2 linked regions of the Callithrix jacchus genome follow. The main gene of each other region encodes a partner of the protein of the gene in region 2 in a complex. Links are inferred from orthologs where the notes say so. Each region holds a gene or a part of one and is shown on either strand. Other genes may lie near its edges.

The links.
Region 1: the proteins of DHDDS (region 2) and NUS1 are in contact, whole or in part, in a crystal structure (PDB 7PAX), measured with the Homo sapiens proteins. The link is inferred for Callithrix jacchus from reciprocal best matches to the Homo sapiens genes DHDDS and NUS1. Residues at the interface, in NP_995583.1 of Homo sapiens: Arg37, Arg38, Glu81, Asn82, Lys84, Arg85, Arg159, His160, Ile162, Ser163, Val166, Arg167, Met169, Ala170, Trp171, Val173, Glu174, Pro180, Ser181, Ile183, Ser184, Glu185, Leu188, His199, Glu209, Val210, Arg211, Leu212, Ser213, Asp214; in NP_612468.1 of Homo sapiens: His137, Gln138, Pro193, Glu194, Lys197, Ala198, Ile200, Val201, Ala204, Gln205, Phe207, Cys208, Gln209, Val211, Ala212, Arg217, Pro218, Thr219, Leu221, Asp222, Val223, Leu226, Asp237, Pro246, Val247, Asp248, Ser249, Thr250, Leu251, Gly252.

Annotation. Positions count from the first base shown.
Region 1 is NC_133505.1:123,966,353-123,970,938, forward strand, and holds the start of NUS1 (dehydrodolichyl diphosphate synthase complex subunit NUS1), read left to right. Parts: upstream 1-1,483; 5' UTR 1,484-1,670; coding exon 1,671-2,085; intron 2,086-4,586. UniProt on the Homo sapiens protein: With DHDDS, forms the dehydrodolichyl diphosphate synthase (DDS) complex, an essential component of the dolichol monophosphate (Dol-P) biosynthetic machinery.
Region 2 is NC_133508.1:63,081,804-63,085,612, forward strand, and holds part of DHDDS (dehydrodolichyl diphosphate synthase complex subunit DHDDS), read left to right. Parts: intron 1-2,546; coding exon 2,547-2,663; intron 2,664-3,809. UniProt on the Homo sapiens protein: With NUS1, forms the dehydrodolichyl diphosphate synthase (DDS) complex, an essential component of the dolichol monophosphate (Dol-P) biosynthetic machinery.

The sequences.
Region 1 (4,586 bases), on a different chromosome or scaffold from region 2:
GTAGCTGCATAATCTGCAGCAACAGGCAGTTAGGAAGAAGACTGTAGATTTTCCTGATCATGCCCTTTCGCCTTTCCTTCTTGTCCATCATCAGAGGAGTTGCTGCAGAGATCAGGAGAGACAGAAGTGTGTGAAGGGAGTGCCTGGTGCCCAGCCCTCAATTCTTCAGGCTGCTCTGTCAAAGGGAGATAGACATGAGATTCAACTTTTAAAGTAAAGTTAAATGAGTCTTAGAAAACAAAATGAGACTAGTTGAAAAAGGGACAATGTTAAAAAAATTAAGTCATATAGCCAAGATGTGAACAATGCTTTCCAGTGGAAAAAGGGGACTTTACAGAACAAGTATTAGGTAGGCATTACAAAAATGCAACTGTTTACACACACATGTATAAATATGTGTGTATACGTGTGTGGATGTGTATGTGTAAACAGCTGCATTTTTGTAATGCCTACCTAATCTTTACATGTATACTTATATAAATACAAATAATATAACTATTATTACATACACACATATATATGATGATAGAGGATGTGGCATGTAGGATGAGCCTTGAGAAATGGGTTGGAATGTGGGGAATCCCAAGTGGGAATCAGAAATTCAGGAGAAGAGCTTCAACAAAAGGGGCAAAGACAGTACAGACTTGCCACAGGGAAGTACAGAACCATTCTACAGGACCACTTGGAAGTCCAGATGGACAGGAACGTTAGGGTGTGTAAATGGGATGATAAAGTTTGGATGGGCAGTTTACATCAAATAGTGGCGGTGATTGAAGTCACAATGTCTATATTTCTCCCCTCTAAACCTAACAGGGGTTGGTTAATAAAGTCTTGCCGAATAAATGAAAAACAAAACAAAACAAAAAAACAGTGAAGTGACTGGAGCGGTAGAGCCTCTCTTTTATGTACTAAGCAATGGACAGCCAGGAAAGGATACCTTAGTGGGGAATGACGTGGGTAGAGGGTGTTTCAGGAACATGGCTGAAGAGCCTTGCTCACAGCTTTAGCTGGGAGGTTGAATAAAGGACTGTAGCAGGACCATTCCAGCCTTTGAGGACACTTTTGGGAGCCCTGGTGGATTCCCAGCATCAACACTTACTGAGGGCTGCTTTCCATCCCCAAGTTCTTTCCGGCATTTGTAATTTCCAGTCCACTTAGGACACTTTTACTCCTATGAAACTGTTTCTGTGGGGGCCGTGAGAGGGGACAGACAGTTTAAGACGCCCTGGACCCAAAGGATGCCGGGTCCCTAGAAGCGCCCATCCCTTGGATGAACACGTGTGCCTTGCTGGCGTCCCGCTCAGAAAGTCGTCTTCCCCTCATCGCCCTCCACACGACCAGGGGGCGCCCGCGGTCTCGGCCCGCCTAGTTCGCAGGCGTGGGTCCTCCCTCGCTGTGCCGGGCTGGGCCATATCCTCGGACCCAGAAGACGCGTCAGAGTTCCACGCTGGCCAATCAGAACTGTCCATGTACTACCGGGGGCGGGGCTGCCAAAGGAGGAGGAAGATGGCGGCGGGGGCGAGGTGAGGTGTTGGCAGTGGAAAGGGGTTCGGGCGTGGGGGGCGGGGGCCGCGGGGAGATGGCCCGCTCCGGCCGCAGGGGCGGATAAAAAGCCGTCACGCCGCGGGAGCGGGCGGGAGGGAGAGAGGGTGCCCGAGCGCCACAAGAGTATGACGGGGCTGTACGAGTTGGTGTGGCGGGTGCTGCACGCGCTGTTCTGCCTGCACCGCACGCTCACCTCCTGGCTCCGCGTTCGGTTCGGCACCTGGAACTGGATCTGGCGGCGCTGCTGCCGCGCCGTCTCTGCCGCGGTCCTAGCGCCACTCGGCTTCACGCTCCGCAAGTCCCAGGCGATCGGCAGGAACCGCCGTTACCATAGGCACCCACGCGGGGGGTCGTGCCTGGCCGCTGCCCATCACCGGCTGCGCTGGCGCGCGGACGGCCGTTCCCTGGAGAAGCTGCCTATGCACATGGGCCTGGTGTTCACCGAGGTGGAGCAGGAGCCCAGCTTCTCGGATATCGCAAGCCTCGTGGTGTGGTGTATGGCCGTGGGCATTTCCTACATTAGCGTCTACGACCACCAAGGTGAGGCCCGGTGCGGTGGTGGGGGGTGGTTGAGGCGTCTTGGACCGCTGGAACCGCTCGTCTGGCGGGTGGTGCCCAGGTGGCTCCGCACACGGTTCGGCGAGTTGCCGCGGCCCCTCTGCAAATCACAGCTCTAGCGCTTTCGAGGAAGGGAGATCAGCTTTACTGAACACCTACTAACTCGCTGGATTTGACTCAGTTGCTTTTTAACATTTTACAAATATCCCTTATTTGTTATTATACCGCAGTAATATAGATGGTATTTGTATACCTGTGTTTCCCAAGAGGGAGCCAAGGTTTAAAAACGTTAATTAATTTGCCAAAGGCCACAAAGATCGTAATGGGGATATTGGAATTTTAGCCAGTCTGTGCTTTTTCACAGTCTTTGCCTTTGGTTACAGCACAGTGTTTCTTTAAGAGAGGTTCCAGGCGCTGTTTTTAAGTCGCAGTCAGGCTCTAGAGGACTTAGGCAGGGGCTGTGTGATAGGTACTCCAAATGGGAGCGGTTGGGATTAGCAGGTATTTGAACTGGGTTTATGAAAAGTATGTGAGAGACTGGATAGGCAGAAAAGAAAAATGGTCCTTTTCTATCTTGGAAGCCTGGGATGGTTTGTGATCCTTGATCATCAGTGCCCAACACAGTACTTGATATAATTGTCCTTTCATACGTTTTGATTGAGAGAATGAATTTCACCATAGGGAGTTTTTGTAGGTACAGAAATTCAGTACTTATTGGGTAGCTACAAACCTAAAGCATTGTGCTACGCATACTCCTTGGAATCTTGCATTTAATTCCATGGACTCTCGGGCTTGTCAGGAGGTAGGCACATGGTTAATAACCATGTCAAAGTGTTGAGAGTAAAATTACTATTGTGCTAAGAGAAGAGAGAAATTGTGAATGGAGGCACTTGAGAAGTTCATGCAGTGGAGGTGGGATTTAAACAGGACCTTGAAGAATAGGTAGGATGTCAGTTTTGGGTTTCAATCAAATCTTGAAAGCACTGGAATTTCTTTAAAGATAAAGATGTGATAAGAATGATTTAGGAGTATTGGTATGAAGGAAAGATAAGGAAAGTTTTATTTTCTATTCAATAAATTACGTGTGTGGTCTAAAGATGCATAAATCTTTGCCGGATAGGTAAATTTAAGTCCAGGGTTTTGTCAGAAAGGGAAGATGTAGGTCAGACAGTAACTCTTACAGGGTGAGTTCGGATTGCCCTATAAACTTTCCTGCAGCCTGCACGGAAAATGATGACTCAGTAGCCTGTCATCACCAAATGATGATTTGCCCTATAGGGCAAAGTTTGCTATATTCTGGGACTGACATTTTATGGAACTTGCTAAAGAACTCAGCAGACCAGTAGAAATATGAGACTTTAGAACGTGACACAATCCATGCCTAAACCAATGCAGCCAGTATTGTCTGGCGAAAAAAATAAGTGAAGCAAAAGTGGACATCAAAGACATTAAGCAATGTGGTGGATTGATGTATAGCCAAGTGATTCTTGTAAAGCAAGTACCTTTATCTTCTAGTAGGGAAGGAAAATTTATAGCTAAATTGTTTGACTTGGGGACCATGCCTGCTAGTACAGACTATACTAGTTTCCTTGTTTCGGCAATTCCTGTGTTTAAATTGCTGATGTGATTCGGAAGTATCCTGTCATATTTGTTGAAAGAAAGATGATTGGTAATGAAAAGGAAGAAGTAAGCTAAACCAAGTTTTGACTGAAAACTGAAAGGCAGCTTAAGGAGCAGTTTCTGTGAAGGGGCTTACAGGATTTTTGTGTCTTAACTGTAAAAGCAGTTTTTTTGTTTGTTTAAAGGAATAGGGGATATCATTCCTGAATTAAGAGACCTGTAATTAGTTCATCCTTGGTTTTGATTCATTCATGCATTCATTTACAGGTGACGTTTAGGGTCTGTTAAGTACCAGATACTCTTCCAGACATGGGAATGCAGCAGTGTACTCACAGAACTTAGATTTCAGTGGGAGTCTGACACATAGTATAAGTAGGTAAATACATGGTAATATAAGTGCAGTAAGGAACAATAAAGCAGGGAAGGGAAGATAGCAATGTTGAAAGTCAGTCGTGTAGGAAGGGGCACAGTTTTAAATAGGGAGCCCAAGGAAAGGCTCAATAACTTTGAATATAGAGTTGAAAATATAGGCCATGTGGATGTCTAAGAATTACTCAAGGGTAGTATAGACAAGCTTTATTCAGTGTTTCTTTTTTTTTTTTAATTTTATTACTATTATTTTTTGAGATGGAGTTTTGCTCTGTTGCCCAGGGTGGAGTGCAGTGGTGCAATCTCAGCTCACTGCAACCTCCACTTCCCAGGTTCAAACGATTCTCCTGTCTCAGCCTATCTGAGTAGCTGGGACTACAGGTGTGTGCCGCCATGGGCTAGTTTTTGTATTTTTAGTACAGACAGGGTTTGACCATGTTGACCATGCTGGTCTCTTAACCGCTGACCTCAGGTGATCTGCCCTCTTCAGCTTC
Region 2 (3,809 bases):
TTAGCCTCCCAAAGTGCTGGGATTACAGGTGTCAGTCACCACGCCTGGCTCCAAGTAAGTTTTGTTTGGCTCACAAAGTCTTCTGTTTGCGTCAAAAAACAAAATTTTTATAAAAATCCTGATGTTTGGTTTTCTGGCAAAATCAGCATATCCAACAATATTGGACCCCAGGTCCTGTGTGTCAGCAGTTGGCTAGAGATCAGGAATGAGTGCCTTTTTTTTTGAGACAGAGTTTGTCTCTGTTGCCCAGGCTGGAGTGCAGTGGCGTGATCTCAGCTCACTGCAACCTCTGCCTCCTGGGTTTAAGCCATTCTCCTACCTCAGCCTCCTGAGTAGCTGGGATTACAGGCTCCCACCACCACTCCCGGCTAATTTGTGTGTGTGTGTTTTGTTTTGTTTTGTTTGAGATGGAGTCTTGCTCTGTCACCCAGGCTGGAGTGCAGTGGCCTGATCTCGGCTCACTGCAACCTCTGCCTTCCAGGTTCAAGCAGTTCTCCTGCCTCAGCTTCCCAGGTAGTTGGGATTGCAGGAATCCGCCACCACGCCTGTCTAATTTTTATATTTTTAGTAGAGATAGGGTTTCACCATCTTCGCCAGGCTGGTGTCAAACTCCTGACCTCGTGATCTGCCCTCCTTGGTCTCCCTAAGTGCTGAGATTACAGGCGTGAGCCCCCACACATGGCCCTAATTTTCACACTTTTAGTAGAGACAGGGCTTCAACCTGTTTGCCAGGCTGGTCCTGAACTCCTGACCTCAAGTGATCTGCCTGCCTTGTCCTCCCAAAGTGCTGGGATTACAGGGATGAGCCACTGCACCCAGCCCTATGAGTGCCTTTTTTTCTGTAGAAGGCACCATCTTCATTTGACTCTATCCATCAGTATTTTTCCTGGCCAGGCATCATGGCTCACACCTGTAATCCCAGCACTTTGGGAGGCCAAGTTGAGCGGATCTCTTGAGGCCAGAAGTTCAAGAGCAGCCTGGCCAACATGGTGAGACCCCTGTCTCTACAAAAAATAAAAAAATCAGCTGGGTGTGATACATTCCTGTAGTCCCAACTACTTGGGAGATTGAAGTGGGAGGATCTTTCTCATTCCAAAAGGTGGAGGTTGCAAATGAGCCAAGATCATGCCACCATGCTTCATCCAGCTTGGGTAACAGAGTAAGACCCTGTCTCAAGGAGAAAGAAAAAAAATCATTTTCCCTTTGCTCCTAGTTGGAGACTAATTAAACGAAGCCTGTAGTTAAGAGCATATGTTTAACTCTGGAAGCAGATCAACATCAGTTTGAATCCCCATTTGCCTCTTCTTAACTGTGTGATTAATGCAAGTCACTAAAACTCTCTGAGCCTGTTTTTCCACCTGTAAAATGAAGATAATACTATTTGCTTTATAGACCTGTATGATATAGACCTGTATAAGATGAAGTATAAGAAGCCCAGCATAGGCCAGGTGCGGTGGCTCACGCCTATAATCCCAGCACTTTGGGAGGCCGAGGCGGGTGGATCACGAGGTCAAGAGATCGAGACCATCCCAGTCAACAAGGTGAAACCCCGTCTCTACTAAAAATAAAAAAATTAGCTGGGCATGGTGGCACGCACCTGTAGTCCCAGCTACTCGGGAGGCTGAGGCAGGAAAATTGCTTGAACCAAGGAGACGGAGGTTGCGGTGAGCCGAGATCGCGACGTTGCACTCCGGCCTGGGTAACAAGAGTGAACCTCCGTCCCAAAAAAAAAAAAAGAAGCCCAGCATAGTATTTGGCATGTAGTAAGTGCTCAGTAAACATGTAAATAAAAATAAATAGGCCAGTTGTGGTGGCTCATGCCTGTAATCCCAGCACTATGGGAGACTGATAAAGAGTATTGCTTGAGCCCAGGAGTTCGAGACTTGGGCAACATAGGGAGATCCCATCTCTCTTTTTTTTTTTTTTGAGACAGAATCTCGCTCTGTCACCGAGGCTGGAGAGGTTGGAGTGCAGTGTGGCGCAATCTTGGCTCACTGCAACCTCTGCCTCTGGGGTTTAATCGATTCTCCTCCCTCAGCCTCCTGAGTAGCTAGGACTATAGACACACACTACCATGCCTGGCTAATTTTTGTAATTTTAGTAGAGACAGGGTTTTACCATGTTAGCCAGAATGGTCTCGATATCCTGACCCATGATCCACCCACCTTGGCCTCCCAAAGTGCTGGGATTACAGGCCTGAGCCACCATGCCCAGCTGACCCCATCTCTTAAAAAAGAAAAAAGGCTCAGTAGGTGTGTGGTGGCCTGTGCTGGTAATCCTGGCTACTCAGCAGGAGGCAGAGGTGGGAGGATCACTTGATCCCAGGAGGCCAAGGCTATAGTCTGGGTGACTGAGTGCTGCCTCAAAATAAATAAATAAATAAGTAAACTTTAATATCTTTTTACTGAGCTCAAAGCACAAAGTACCCAATTTCCTTCGTCAGGGCTTTCATCACATAGCCCAAACCTGTCACCTTGGGATGTAGTGTCTTCCTTTATCCCTGAAGAATATGAGACCTGTTCATCATTTGTCTTCATATTCCACAGGCAGGCCCAGTGCCAAAACACATTGCATTCATAATGGATGGGAACCGTCGCTATGCCAAGAAGTGCCAGGTGGAGCGGCAGGAAGGCCACTCACAGGGCTTCAACAAGCTAGCTGAGGTGGGTGTGTATGGCAGAGCCCAAAATGAACAGTCTGTGGAGAGATGGATTATAGCTAGAAAACCAGGCCCTGAGTTTGCTGTGGTTGAAGAGTGTTTTTTTATATCAGTCTCTGTGTTTTATTGTTTTCTTGCTAGCTGTACCTCTCATCTTGACGTTGGCCAGACATGGTTGTTCATGCCTGTAATCTAGGCACTTTGGGAAGCCAAGGCAGGAGGATTGCTTGAGCCCAGGGATTCAGGACAAGCCTGGGCAACATAGTCAGACCTCGTCTCTACAAAAAATTTAAAAACTAACCAGACTTGATGGTGCACACCTGTACCCCAAGCTATTCAGGAGGCTGAGGTGGGAGGACTACCTGAGCCCAGGGAGCTTGAGGCTACAGTGAACAGAGATTGTGCTACTGCACTCCAGCCTGGGTGACAGAGTGACACTGTCTCAAGAAAAAAAAATGACATTAACAAAGAAGTAATTATTCAGTGAATTACCGTAAAATACTAAAAATAAGAACAAAATTGCCTCTTACTATTTTAATAAATCAATAGTTTATATTCTATACCTCATCCAATCCTTATTTTATGTTCTACATGACTTAACATTGATAAAATTGCATCTATATCTTCAGTAACCTTGTTTTTACTTATCATTTTGGTTTGGTTTGTATTTTTTTTGTTTGGTTGGGTTTTTTGTTTGTTTGTTTGTTTGTTTGAGACGGAGTTTTGCTCTTGTTACCCAGGCTGGAGTGCAATGGCGTGATCTCGGCTCACCACAACCTCTGCCTCCTGGGTTCAGGCAATTCTCCTGCCTCAGCCTCCTGAGTAACTGGGATTACAGGCACATGCCATCGTGCCCAGCTAATTTTTTGTATTTTTAGTAGAGACAAGGTTTCACCATGTTGACCAGGATGGTCTCAATCTCTTGACCGCGTGATCCACCCGCCTCGGCCTCCCAAAGTGCTGGGATTACAGGCTTGAGCCACCGCGCCTGGCCTTGGTTGGTTTTTTTTTTTTTTTGAGACAGAGTCTTGCTCTGTCACCCAGGCAGGAGTATAGTGACATGATCTCTGCTCACTGCAACCTCTGCCTCCCGGGTTCAAGCGATTCTCTGCCTCAGTCTCCTGAGTAGCTGAGATTGCAGGCGCCCACC